Linked DNA regions of Anolis sagrei. The protein of the gene in region 2 interacts with the protein of the main gene of each other region in a pairwise test. Links are inferred from orthologs where the notes say so. Each region holds a gene or a part of one and is shown on either strand. Other genes may lie near its edges.

Evidence for each region. The genes of interacting proteins can lie anywhere in the genome.
Region 1: the proteins of CEP44 (region 2) and POP5 interact in binary tests that used the Homo sapiens proteins (3 or more experiments, as listed by UniProt). The two-hybrid records come from large-scale screens. The link is inferred for Anolis sagrei from reciprocal best matches to the Homo sapiens genes CEP44 and POP5.

Annotation. Positions count from the first base shown.
Region 1 is NC_090034.1:46,557,655-46,564,498, forward strand, and holds POP5 (ribonuclease P/MRP protein subunit POP5), read left to right. Parts: upstream 1-3,836; 5' UTR 3,837-3,946; coding exon 3,947-3,966; intron 3,967-5,052; coding exon 5,053-5,195; intron 5,196-5,428; coding exon 5,429-5,578; intron 5,579-6,287; coding exon 6,288-6,371; intron 6,372-6,598; coding exon 6,599-6,702; 3' UTR 6,703-6,832; downstream 6,833-6,844. UniProt on the Homo sapiens protein: Component of ribonuclease P, a protein complex that generates mature tRNA molecules by cleaving their 5'-ends. Also a component of the MRP ribonuclease complex, which cleaves pre-rRNA sequences.
Region 2 is NC_090025.1:61,100,084-61,107,126, reverse strand, and holds the start of CEP44 (centrosomal protein of 44 kDa), read right to left. Parts: upstream 3,016-7,043; 5' UTR 2,915-3,015; intron 2,896-2,914; exon of another isoform or gene 2,845-2,895; intron 1-2,844. UniProt on the Homo sapiens protein: Centriole-enriched microtubule-binding protein involved in centriole biogenesis. In collaboration with CEP295 and POC1B, is required for the centriole-to-centrosome conversion by ensuring the formation of bona fide centriole wall.

The DNA.
Region 1 (6,844 bases), on a different chromosome or scaffold from region 2:
CTGTCTGTCCGGGTTTGATGGATTCATTTCAGCTTGTTCAGACTGATGACATGGACAAGATCCTTGGAATAGTGAGAGCGATTACATGTATGCTAGATCCTTGCCCTTCCTGGCTTATCAAACTTGCCAGTGGGGGACTAGCTGAGTGGTTTACGGGGATTATAAATGTCTCATTGGAACAGGGACAAATACCATCGAGCCTTAAAAAAGAAATAGTGAGACCTATTCTAAAGAAGGTGTCTCTAGATTCCTTGGCACTGAACAACTACCGGCCAATTTCTAATCTTCCTTTTTTGGGCAAGGTTCTAGAGTGAGTGGTAGCTTCTCAGCTCCAGGGATTTTTGGATGAGACTGATTATCTTGATTCTTCACAGTCTGGTTTTAGGCCTGGTCAAGGTACAGAGATGGCATTGGTCGACTTGGTGGATGACCTCCGCAGAGAGCGAGACGGGGGAGTGTGTCCTTGTTGGTTCTCTTGGACATCTCTGCGGCTTTCGATACCATCGACCATGGTATCCTTCTGAGGCAGCTCTCCAGAATGGGTCTTGAGGGCATTGCTCTGCAATGGCTCTGCTTCTTCTTGGAGGATCACACTCACTGGGAGACACCTGCTTGAACCCCTGGCCATTGACCTGAGGGGTCCCGCAAGGTTCCATTATATCTCCCACACTTTTTAACATCTACATGAAATTGCTGGGAGAGGTCATCCAGAGTTTTGGAGTTGGGTGCCATCTGTATGCAGATGAAAACTCTACTACTGTTTTCCACCGAATTCCAAGGAAGCCTCTCTGATCCTGAACCAGTGCCTGGCAGTCTTGATGGATTGGATGAGGGCTAACAAGCTGAAGCTTAATCCTGCAAGACAGAGGTCCTCCTAGTCAGTCGTGAGACCGATCAGGATATCGGGTGGCAACCTGTGCTTGACAGGGCAACACTCCCCCTGAGGACACAGGTCCGCAGCTTGGGGGTCCTCCTGGACTGAGTGCTGATGCTTGATGCCCAAGCGTCAGTGGTGGCCAGGAGGGCCTTTACACAGTTAAAGCTTGTGCACCAGCTGTGGCCATACCTCGAGAAGCCTGATTTGGCCATAGTGGTCCATGCCTTGGTTACATCCAGATTGGATTATTGCAATGCACTCTACATGGGCTGCCATTGAAGACGGCCCAGAAACTGCAACTGGAGCTAATTATAGGGAGTGCATGAAATGCCTATTAATACAGCTCCACTGCCTGCTGATAAGTTTCTGGTCCCAATTCAAGGTGCAGGTTATGACTTACAAAGAGCAACTTGAGAAACTGCAAGTTGCTTTTGGTGTGAGAGAATTGGCCGTCTGCAAGGACATTGCCCAAGGAACGCTCTGATGTTTTTTGATGTTTTATCATCCTTGTAGGAGGCTTCTCTCATGTTACCTGCATGAGGAGCTGGAGCTGACAGAGGGAGCTCATTCACACTCTCCTCAGATTCAAACCTCTAACCTGTTGGTCTTCAGTGCTGCTGGCACAAGGGCTTAACCCATTGCGCCACCGGGGGCTACAGGTCATATGATGTGTTCTGCATCCAACTTGAATAGGTCGGGTGAGAGTATACAACCCTGCCGAACGCCTTTCCCAATCTTGAACCAGTCAGTTGTTCCGTGGTCTGTTTTTACTGTTGCTACTTGGTCCTTATACAGATTCCTCAGGAGACAGACAAGGTGGTTTGGTATCCCCACACCACCAAGAACTTGCCACAATTTATTATGATCCACACAAAGGTTTTAGAATAGTCAATAAAACAATAATCAATAAGGGGATAGATAGATAGATATAAGGGATTAAATAAGACCATCCTCATGACTGAACAATTATAATAAGCATAGCAAGAGTAGTAGCTGCTTTTAACCTTTATAGACCAAAACGGTTCTGGCCCAGACTACCTGACCGAACGTATCTCCTGCCATGAACCATCACGAAGTTTAAGATCTTCAGGAGAGGCCCTACTCTTGATCCCACCACTATCACAAACACGGTTGATGGGGACGAGAGACAGGGCCTTCTCAGCAGTGGCCCCCCGCCTATGGAACACCCTCCCTAGAGATATCAGATTGGTCACCTCCCTCTTGTCTGTCAGAAGGAAAATCAAGACTGGGTTTTGGGACCAAGCGTTTGATCAGTGAGCAGCAAGTGGAAGAAGATCACACAACTTATGGCAATGAATTGACCTGGACTGGTTTTTGGATTTCGATTTTAATGGATGTGTCTTCATTAATAGTTTTAATTGTTGTTTTAATTTTTAATATTTTGATTGTACTGTGGTTGTTTTTATGATGCTAGCATCGTATGATGCCTTTGTTAGGCCACCCTTTGGGGGGAGAAGGGCGGGGTATGATCTTAACTTCCTGGAGGGTTCGTAGGAAGAGATGCGTTCGAACCCTCCAGGAAGTTAAGATCATCTGAGGAGGCCCTGCTCTCGATCCCGTCTGCTTCGCAAGCATGCTTGGCGGGGACGAGAGACAGGGCCTTCTCTGTGGTGGCCCCTCGGCTGTGGAACTCCCTGCCTAGGGATATTAGATCAGCCCCCTCCCTCCTGGCCTTCCGTAAGAGAGTGAAAACCTGGCTCTTCGAGCAGGCATTCGGAACCCCGGAATAGTCAAGCTTGAGATGGAGAATGACCCAGGAATGGCCAAAACGACGAAACGGATGAGGATTGGAATGAGAGGATATCGCTCTTTTTAAATTGTTATTTTTTTGTCTAAATGCACTTAATTGTTTTTGCTTTTGTATTGTATTGATGGCATTGAATTGTGCCGATATGTAGACCGCCCTGAGTCGCCTGCGGGCTGATATGGGCGGGATATACGTGATGTAAATAAATAGATAAAAATAATAGTCAAGGGTAGCAGTTATCAGGAAGGAATGGGGAGGTGGTGAGATTGGGGGAAAAATACTTGTACTTCAATTGTTGAATTTCGAAGATTGTATGTCTCTATGTATGTATATATAATTTTAAAACATTTAAAAAAAAAAACAGAAAAAGTGGTCCAAAATCGCATTAATTCCACCATGTGGAGACACCCCGACGTGAATGCCATGCCTGCTTCATAGACATCTCGCTTGAGGTATTTTTCCTCACAATATCTGAAATAATTTTGCACATGAAATGTTGGGAGTGCAGCATTTTTGAATTCTTATGTAAGGCATGCTCACCCTGTATTGTATTTCTGCTTTTCTGAGAGAACCATCGTGCTGCTCTTATATAATACGCATTCCCTCGTCTTTGGGGAGGAAACGCTTTGGCGCCTCAAAGCTCGGCGCGAGCTCCCCCTATCGACCACAAGGCGACAAAGACCGGCTCACAAGCTCGTTCTGTTTCTGAGGTTAAAAAAAAAAGAGTCGCTTTTATAGCCTCGACCTTGCCCTCCCTCCCGCGCGTGCGGTCAGGCCAACTAATCAAAATGCGTTTCCGCGAGACGGATAGGTAGTCAGAGCCAATCCGATTTAAACTCAAGGAAAGGTGGGGTCACAACGCGCGAGCCGCGTGTTGATTGGTCAGGCGGAGAAAAGCCGCGGCCGGCTTAGAAACTTTTTTTGAAGTCGTTCCCACTGTTAGGATTGCCAAGCACATGCAGCTACGCGCGGGCCAATAGGAAGGCGGCTTTCTCGTTACGTCAGTCATCCCCGCCCCTTCGGAACAGCCAAGTGCCTTGATAGCATAGCTCGCCTTCGCTCTGACAACAGAGGAAGGAAATAGCTGCGTGAGGAAACCCGGAAGTCGAGGCGTTCCGTCACTTCTATCTTTTCTCTATGGATTCCCCCCCCCCATAGAGTTGCGAGGGTTAGAATACGACGGTCCTCCGGAAGTGGGCGTTAAAACCTAACGGATATTAAGCGCTTCAGCCAGTCAGACTCGGAGACTGTAGCCTTTCCTTCTCCGGCGGCAGCTGCCGCATTGGCTCTCCGGAAGAGAGATGGTGAGATTTAAAAACAGGTGAGCCGCATGGAGCCGGAGCACTTCAAACGAGATGAAACCGTGTTAACCATCCAGTGTAGATGTAGCCCAAGTCTCAACATGAAGTTGATGTATATCCTTCATAGACTCTTTCAGCTACATATAGCCTGATGGTCACTGCAGACGGAAAAAGTTGAGTAAAAATATATTTCCTGTTTTAGAGATTGTAAACGCTTTAAAAGTAAATTAAAATCATGTAAAATAGAATACTTTTAAAATTATGCAAAATAGAATACTTTTAAAATTATGCAAAATAGAATATTTTTAAATCATGTAAGATAGAATATTTGAAATACTTTGAAGTCATGTCAAATGTAATATTTGAAATCGTGTCCAATGTAACACTTTTAATCATGCCAAATATAATTGCAATTACTTAAAATATATTTTTAATCCAATAAAATATGTTTTACACAATAATGTAAACTACAGTATTGAGGGAGATGTAGTTTTAAAAGGGAATTTTAAATATAAAAAAAAGTCTTTTAAATCTTTTACAAATATTCAGCTACTTGTGTACCTCTTGTGGAGAGCATCTTCTCGATCTAGCCATTGGCCATTTGGGAGAAGTTCCTTTGAGGGGACTACAACTCCCAGAACCCCCCAGTCAGGATATATATAACCCAGGTGAGGCACTTTTTCTAAGCCCTGCCATTGCATTGTGGAGAGAAAAAAGCGGGGTATAAACATAATGAACATAATAATAATAATAATAATAATAATAATAATAATAATCCTTTAAATAATAATTTTAAAATGACCTTCAGGCTCTGTGTATATTGACCAGAAATTGATTCCATGTTTAGGCTTGAGTCCCATCTCCAATCTACACTGTCGAATTAATGCTGTTGATGTGACTGCCATGGCTCCATGCTATGGAATCAGGACAGTTGTCGATTGGCAGGGAAGATGGGAGACTTTTTCAAAATGTGCCAGACTACAACTCCCAGAATCCCACAGCATGGAGCCACTGCAGTTCAAGTGGTCCCAAACAGTAATTCATTCTAGTGTGGATGCAGCTAGTTTGTTCAGTTCCTGTGACGGCCGTCCCTTTTGTTTTCGCAGGTACTTCCTCTGTGAGATACTGTGTGAAGACCCGCGTTGCCGCCAGCTCATTGAGGAGCGCACGGTGCACAGTGCAGTGAAGAACATAGTGGGCCGGATGTATGGCGACTTCGGCTTGGCCTGCTGCTCCATTGCCTTTTCAGGTCGGTAGCTCTCTCCTTCCTTAGGAGAAACTAGTTGAAGCTCCTCTCGAGTTTCTTCCAATAGTCTGCGATTTTGTGCAGTTACCAAAGACAACCTGCAACTACTTAACAATGAAGCAAGCAGCCCAAAGTGTCCCAAAATCTTCCGAGTCTTTTGATAGTAAACCATTCAGGAAAGCTTTGCTTTTTCCCTGCCCAATGCAACATTGCTCTCTTCTCATTTCTGCCCCCAGTGAAGTACCTCAATGCCTACACTGGGATCGTCCTCTTATGTTGCCGAAGAGACTTTTATCGGCTCCTTGGGTCGTCGTTGCCTTTTATCACTCACTTAGAGAACAAGAACCAGCGCTATCCCTGTTCATTTAATATGCTGCATATTGGAGGTGAGTTCTCTTTTTAATAATAATAATAATAATTTTATGCCTCTCCTTGTGGCTTGAGGCAGGTCACAGAATAACTAAAACATAAACATTGTGAAAGTACTGCAAAACCACATATTAAAATGTATTTCTATAAAAGCTACTATTAAAGCACATTAAAATACACAATACAGAGATTAAACACAAGACAGGCATTTAACATTCATGCTTAAAGACTTGCTGGGTAGGCCTGCTGGAAGAGATCAGTTTTTACATGGTTTCTAAATTCCGACAGCTGATCTGTCAGAGCTCTATTGGCAGGTCATTTCACAGTCCTGGGGTGGCTGATGAAAAAGTCCTTTTAAAAGCATGATCACTGGCCCATTAAAACACCTGAAGCCTTGACATTTGGTCTTTGTGTGGTTAAGTTATAGTGTGCCCCAACTTTATGGCAATTAACCAGTTTGGGGTTTTTTTCACAGTACGCAGTTACAACATTTGGCTCTCACTTTAACTGCCATGGCATTTGGAGATTGGCAGTTATTTGGAATTCTCAGCCAAACTCACACTCCACAGGATGCAGCCACTGCATTAAATTGAGACTAATTGCTCTGTAATTGCATAGTGCAGAGAACTTACTCCTTCAAGACATCACAGGGGTTCATACTGTTTCTTCTCAGCCAAGAGTCCTTATCTATGGTTTCTGACACACTGCTGATTTGTTCTTTCTCAGCCACAATCCGCACCTGTCAGAAATTCCTAATTCATTACAACCAGGACCATCTGCTGTCGGTGCTAGACAATTGCACCAGTGAAGGTAAATCCACTGCTTATTTCCTGGAACAGACTGAAAATGAGACCAAGGTTTCAAGATACCTAGGGCCATCTAATAGGGGATGGAACATGGTAAGATCTCTGCCAATAAATCCAAAACGATGGGCCAGCTGTCCTCTACACAAATGGCTCCCTGGCATATTTGGGGCTGGTTGAGAAGCCGTATCAAGCACAGCGTGTGTTGAGAGCTCTTCTTCCTACTTGTTGTAGCAGACAAACAAGCCATCCAGGAGTCAGTCCAGAGCTGGGCGCTTGAAGGAGAGTCATCCTTTGAGAGCAAAGATGAAAGTGAGGACAGCACGGCGATGGATTGAGCCGCTCCTCTCCTCCAGACAGCCATAACAGACAGTCTCAACGGTGCTTCCCAGCAAGAGTGAAACCCCTCCCTCCACTCTCTTTTGCCTGTGTTGATTTTATGTGTTGATAAAATAAGTTAAAAACAAAGAGTAGTCATCT
Region 2 (7,043 bases):
TTGGATAAGCAAAAATGTTGGATAATATGGAAAAGCCTATTAAACATCAAATTACGTTATTTTACAAATTAAGCACCCAAACATCGTGTTTTACAACAAATTGACAGAGAAAGCAGTTCAATACATGGCAACGTTATGTAATAATGATCATATTTACTAAGTTAGCACGAAAACATTGCAATGTATTGAAACAGCTGTGAATCCAGGCAGGAAGCAGACTGTTGGATAATACAGAATGTTGGATGAGTGAAGGTTGGATAAGCGAGACTCTTCTGTATATAGGGCCTGTCTGGAAGAGCCCTCATAAAATCCAGTTTAAAGCAGAAAATCTGGGATCAGATCCTGTCTGGAAGGGCCCTCGGTGGGAGGACTTTCTAAAAAAAAACCAAAGGCTTTCTAAAGCAATGAAAGCATTGCTATTTAGACCTTGTTTTCCTGTAAGGCCTCGTTGGCTACCTCTAAAAATATACTCCTAAGACAACAACAGGTTCATGTACTGTAGAGTTAATGCAGATTGGCGCTACGAAAGCCCCTTCTATACTGCCAAACAATCCAGGTTATCAAATCATATAATCCACATTAACTGCTCTGAGCTGGATTAACTGAGTCTATGCTGCCAGATAATCCAGTTGAAAGCAGATACTCTGGGTATTATATGGCTGTGTAGAAGGGCCTGTAAACTGCCATGGCTCAAGGATATGGAATCCTGAGAGCTGCAGCTTGGTGAGAACAGGAAAAAGGCCTCAGAAAACTACAACTTCCAGGATTCTATCGCATCGAACTATGGCAATTAAAGTGGCATCAAACTGCATTATCAATGTAGAAGCACCCTTAATTAGTACTGTCCAAAGGGTTGGTGTTTCTTGCTTCAAAACACAAAGGATAATATGGTATTTATCCACTTCTCCATGGCAGGTCTACACATTTGTGGTTGTTATGTGTTGTGATTTCTAGGGCTGAGTGTGACTTTGCCTCATTGGACTTCCATGGCCAAAGGAGGGATTCAAACCCGGGTCTCCGGAGTACTAGTCAAATGCTCTAACCACAAATTGATACAGTTTTAAGGAGAGAAAATAATAGGAAACTTTATCACTTAAGGAAGGCAAACTGACATTGAAGCCAGGTGATGATCCCCATCCTACAACACCATGTTATGCCACTGCCAGCCTGTCTCTTTTCTGTGATTAACCTGTCATATGCTATTCACTGGAAAGTCTCTAAATAGCTGCCAATAGCTGCCAATCTAAGCCTATTTCTACTTAGCTACTTTCTTATCCTTGGGATCTGAGATAATACATATTTATATTTGTGTAAGGGGCAGACCAAACATATTTATCGTGTAAGGGGCAGACCAAACAGTTGCATTGCATTTTTTAACAAACAAACAAACCACAAAGTTTGCAAGCTTGGTAGTTGATTAAAAGTCCTTTGACCAGTAGCTGGCCACTTGGAGTGCCTCTGGTGTTGCTGCAAGAAGGTCCTCCATCGTGCATGTGGCAGGGCTCAGGTTGCATTGCAGGAGGTGGTCTGTAGTTTGCTCTTCTCCATACTTTGTAGCCCCATTTCTTAAGATTGGCTCTGCATCTCGTGGTGCCAGAGCACAGTCTGTTCAGCATCTTCCAAGTCGCTCAGTTTTCTGTGTGCCCAGGGGGGAGTCTCTCATCTGGTATCACCCATGGATTGAGGTGCTGGGTTTGAGCCTGCCACTTTTGGATTCTCACTTGCTGAGGTATTCCAGCGAGTGTCTCTGTAGATCTTAGAAAACGATTTCTTGATTTAAGTCGTTGACGTGCTGGCTGATATCCAAACAGGGAATGAGCTGGAGATGTCACTGCCTTGGTCCTTTCACTATTGGTTGCTACTTCCCGGCGGATGTCAGGTGGTGCAATACCGGCTAAACAGTGTAATTACTCCAGTGGTGTAAGGCGCAGACACCCCGTGATAATGCGGCATGTCTCATTAAGAGCCACATCTATTGTTTTAGCGTGGTGAGATGTGTTCCACACTGGGCATACATACTCAGCAGCAGAGTAGCATAGTGCAAGGGCAGATGTCTTCACTGTGTCTGGTTGTGATCCCCAGTACATAATAGAGAAGAATACACAATGGAGAAGAATAAATGCTCCTGTTTCTTCCATAAGCTCCATCATATGAGTCTACACTCCTAACATTAATACCAAACCTTATCATCATGATCTGTGCAAACCTAGTGCTGCTGAACTAATCTGAAGGTTGGCAGTTCGAATACGTGGGGCAGGGTGAGCCCTAGTTCCTGCCAACCTAGCAGGAAAGGCAATGACACTCCATGCAGTCATGCCAGCCACACGACCAGGATGTGTCTACGGACAATGCAGACTCCTCGGCTTGCAAACTCTGTTTTGTCTGTTTGTTAAAAATGTAATACAATGTAATACTGACAGGATAAATAAATAAATAGCTTGGAAATTGAGATAAGCACCTCCCACAGAGCCGGAGATGAGCACCACCTCCAGAGCCGGAAATGAAAGGAGAAGCCTTTGCCTCTGTATTTGTGTCATTGTATTTCTTTGTAACAAGATATTGAATGTTTGCCTGTGTCTGTTTATATGCGCAATCTGCTCTGAGTCCCCTCTGGGATTAGGGCGGAATATAAATAAAGTGTTATTATTATTATATTACGCCCCAAAGAACACAGATGGGCCGGCGGGGAAAACAGGGAGGTCTTGTTTGTGTTCCCCGGCGTCTCATATGGCGAGACAGGAATACAAGGCTCTCCGAATCCAGTATTTCTAGATTTAACGACAGCAAGCCCCTGCCACAGCCATCACCGAGCATTTGGCACACAGCACATCATCTTTTACATACCAAACACCGAATCACTCACTCACTCCCTGACTGACAGACGCGAGCCCCATCAAAACAACACCTCAACTACCTTGCCTCCGGCGGGTCGAACGGCGCGCTCGACACTCAAACCTTTCTCGCGATGGTTGCTTGCCGTATCATCGCGAGACTTCCATAGATTCTTTGGGGACGGGAGAGTATAAAGCACGGAGGTCTCGCGAGAAATCTTCCTCTGCCGAGATTTGAGCAGGTTTCATTCACATGCCCCCAGCATTTAAGGACAGTTGGGAAGGAAGAAAGTTTGATGTGGCTGATAGATATTAATTTCAAAAACTACAGGAATATAATGCATATTATTCAAGCTTATACTGGGCATAAATCACAAATAAATGCGACCAATCAGTTTAATTATGTAGGTAAATGCATATTTATAAAGTTGCTAAAGGCCTTAAAGGCTCACCAGTTAAGGAGATCTAAAGTTTTGTTGGAATTTTAGTGTGACCTTGTTTAATAATTTTGATTACATGTATTGATCAGATATTTTTTTCCTAAGGCATATGTTTTATATATTATCTGGATCATTAGTTTTACAGCTGTGTAGTTTAATGTATTATTCCTTCCCTCTGTGCCCCCTTCCACACAGCTGAATAAAATCCCACATTTTCTGCTTTGAACTGGAATATATGGCAGTGTGGACTCAGATAAACCAGGGTTCTTCCACACAGACCTATATCCCAGAATATCAAGGCAGGAAATCCCACATCTGAGTGTGGACTCAGATAACCCAGTTCAAAGCAGATATTGTGCGATTTTCTGCCCTGATATTCTGGGTTCTATGGCTTGGTGGAAGGTCCCTGAGGCCCTTTTCAGACAGGCCCTATATCCCAGGATCTGAAGCTAGATTTTCTGTTTATCCCAGATTATCCAACAGTGTGGATTTATATAATCCAGATTAAAGCAAAAAAAAAAAACCTGGGGTCAGATTCTGGGATATAGGTCCTGTCTGAGGACCCTTCCACAGTCATATAACCTAGAATATAAAGGAACAAAATCCCACAATATTTGCTTTCAACTGGATTATCTGAGTCCACACTCAGCCCTTACGCAGGCTGTGAGCTGTTTATAGACCTCTGAGGGTCTTTCCACACAGTCCCTATATCCCAGGATCTGATCCCAGGTTTTCTGTTTATCCCAGATTATCTGGCAGTGCGAACTCTTATAATCCAGTTTAAAGCAGAAAACCTGGGATCAGATCCTGGCATATAGGGACTGTGTAGAAGGGCCCTGAGTATCAAGCCAGTGCTGAATCACAGCGACAGTTGTGTTCAAGAGTTTTTGTGCATTTTTTAAAAAAAATCCTCTAACTATTCTTTCCTTATCTGAATCCACACTGCCATATATCCCAGTTCAAAGCAGATAACGTGGGATTTTATTCAGCTGTGGGGAAGGGACCTCAGGGCCCTTCCAGACAGGCCTTATATTCCAGGATCTGATCCCAGGTTTTCAGTTTATCCCAGATTATCTGGCAATGCGGACTCATATAATCCAGTTTAAAACAGAAAACTTGGGATCAGATCCTGTTAGGGAGGGGCTGTGGCCTCCCACACATCTGAATAAAATCCCACATTATCTTTTTTGAACTGGCAGCGTGGGCTGGACTCAGATAACCCAGTTCAAAGCAGATACTGTGGGATTTTCTGCCTTGATATTCTGGGTTATATGTCTGTGTGGAAGGACCCTGAGGGGCCTTCCACGCAGCCATATAACCCAGAATATCAAGGCAGAAAATCCCACAGTATCTACTTTAAACTGGGTTATCTGACTCCAAACTCAGATAAAATGGAATGTATTGCAGTATGGACTCAGGGGCCTTCCCCACAGCCCTATATCCCAGAATATCAAGGCAGAAAATTCCATATTATCTGAGTTTGGACTCAGATAACTCAGTTTGTGGGATTTCCTGCCTTGGTATTCTGGGATATAGGGCTGTGTGGAAGGGTCCTGAGTCCACACTGCCATATATTCCAGTTCAAAGCAGAAAGTGTGAGGTTCTGTGCAGCGGAATGGCAGGGGCCCTTCCACACACGGAGGGAAGGCACAGCTCTTATCTCCCAGACGGAGCAGCTGTTTTGAGCTCTCCCGCGGGAAATCGAAACCATCCGGCGTTTCCCAATCGGCAGATTCGTCAAACCTCACTCGCTTGTCAAAAAATTTTTTTTTGAGAACAACGCTCAGTTATGCGGAGAGCTACCTTTAACTCAGCTCGGCCCACCGCTATTAAAAAATTAAAATCTGATAGTATATCCTAGGACGCTTAAGCCTCCTCAAATTGACAGCGGAATCTGCGAAGGCGAATCGGCTGTTGCTTTCCGCGACGGACGAGGAGGGGAGCGTCACTTCCGGTAACAACATACACGGCAACCTCAAGAGCTCCAGCAGGGAACTTCCACCTTTGGCCGCTCGCGGTTTGGGGCGGGACACGAGCGCTTCGCCAGGGCTTCGCCAGCGCCTCCGCATCTCCCCAGACCCTCCTTGTCAAGCTTGGGCACTGACTGGCACAGCACTCGTCGCGGCGGCGGTTGGGACTCAATTTCGGACAGGTAAAGCGCGTTTTCTCTTCTCGCCTCAGCAGCCTGGAGGCAGCGGGAGCCGTTTGGTCTTGGAAGCTAAGCAGGGTCGACCCTGGTGAGCGCTTGGGTGGGAGACCGCCAAGGAATACCAGGCGCTGTGGGCTATATTTCAGAGCAGCCCATCTCAATGTATCCCTTGCCTAGGAAGACTGTGAAATTCATAGAGATTTTATTTTGTTTATTTATTTATATTCCGCTTTATCTCTCTATACTTAAGCCCCTTCCACACAGCTGAATAAAACCCCATAATATCTTCTTTGAACTGGAATATATGGTAGTGTGGACTCAGTTTAAAGCAGATATTGTGGGATTTTCTACCTTGATAAGTGCCCTTCCATACAGCGCTACATCCCAGAATATCAAGGCAGAAAGTCCCACAGTATCTGCTTTGAACTAGGTTATCTGAGTTCACACTCAGATACTGTGGGATTTTCTGCCTTGATATTCTGGGATATAGGGCTGTGTGGAAGGGCCCCTAGTTCAAAACAGATAGTAGTAATAATACAATATTATAATTATTATGCCCCCGCTGGCGCAGTGGGTTAAAGGCCTGTGCCGGCAGGACTGAAGACTTGATAAGTGCCCTTCCATACAGCTTTACATCCCAGAATATCAAGGCAGAAAGTCCCACAGTATCTGCTTTGAATTGGATTATCCGAGTCCACACTGCCATATAACCCAGTTCAAAGCAGATAATGTGGGATTTTATTCCACTGTGTGGAAGGGACCCCAAAATATCAAGGCAGAAAATCCCAAAATATTTATTTATTCCAGGCTGGTTCATCAGGTGCTCCAGCTTACCAGCTGAGGAAACATAACATACAAACAATCTACAAACCCACCAAGAAAATCCAACAAATGCTACGTTCAGCAAAGGACAAGAGGGGTCCTCTCACCTCTGCAGGAGTCTACAGAAAGGAGGAGACCATGAAAATGAACAAAATCTGGCTACCAGTATTAAAAAAACTCTAAAATTACAACAGCAAAACAGCAGAGAGGAAACAACCAGGCACATCTTAACACCGCTCAACAGAACATTTTCCCAGGCTCAGGCAGGCCTTCAAATGCTAATGAAGGTGGTCAGTTGAAACATTCACACCTAGCTTCAGCAGAGAGCTCTTTGCCCCACCCCAGTCATTCCACAGATATATAAACCCATTGTCCTATTTCCAACAGACCTCACTACCTCTGGGGATGCTTGCCATAGATGCAGGTGAAACGTCAGGAGAAATGCCTCTAGAACATGGCCCTATAGCCCGAAAAAAACCTACAAGAACCTAGTGATTCCAGCCATGAAAGCCTTCGACAATACATTTATTTATTTATTTACGGCATCTATATGCCGCCCTTCTCACCCCAAAGGGGACTCAGAGCGCCTTACAATATATATTTTCATACAATATATTATATTATTAGCATAGTAAAATATCAGTATTATATATTACTATATTGTACTATACCATTATATTGTAATATTATTAGTAATATTACATGTAATGTAAATATATAATTCTAATTTTTTTTTGTCGTGTCAGGAGCGACCGCTCCTGTTGTGAGAGAATTGGCTGTCTGCAAGGATGTTGCCCAGGG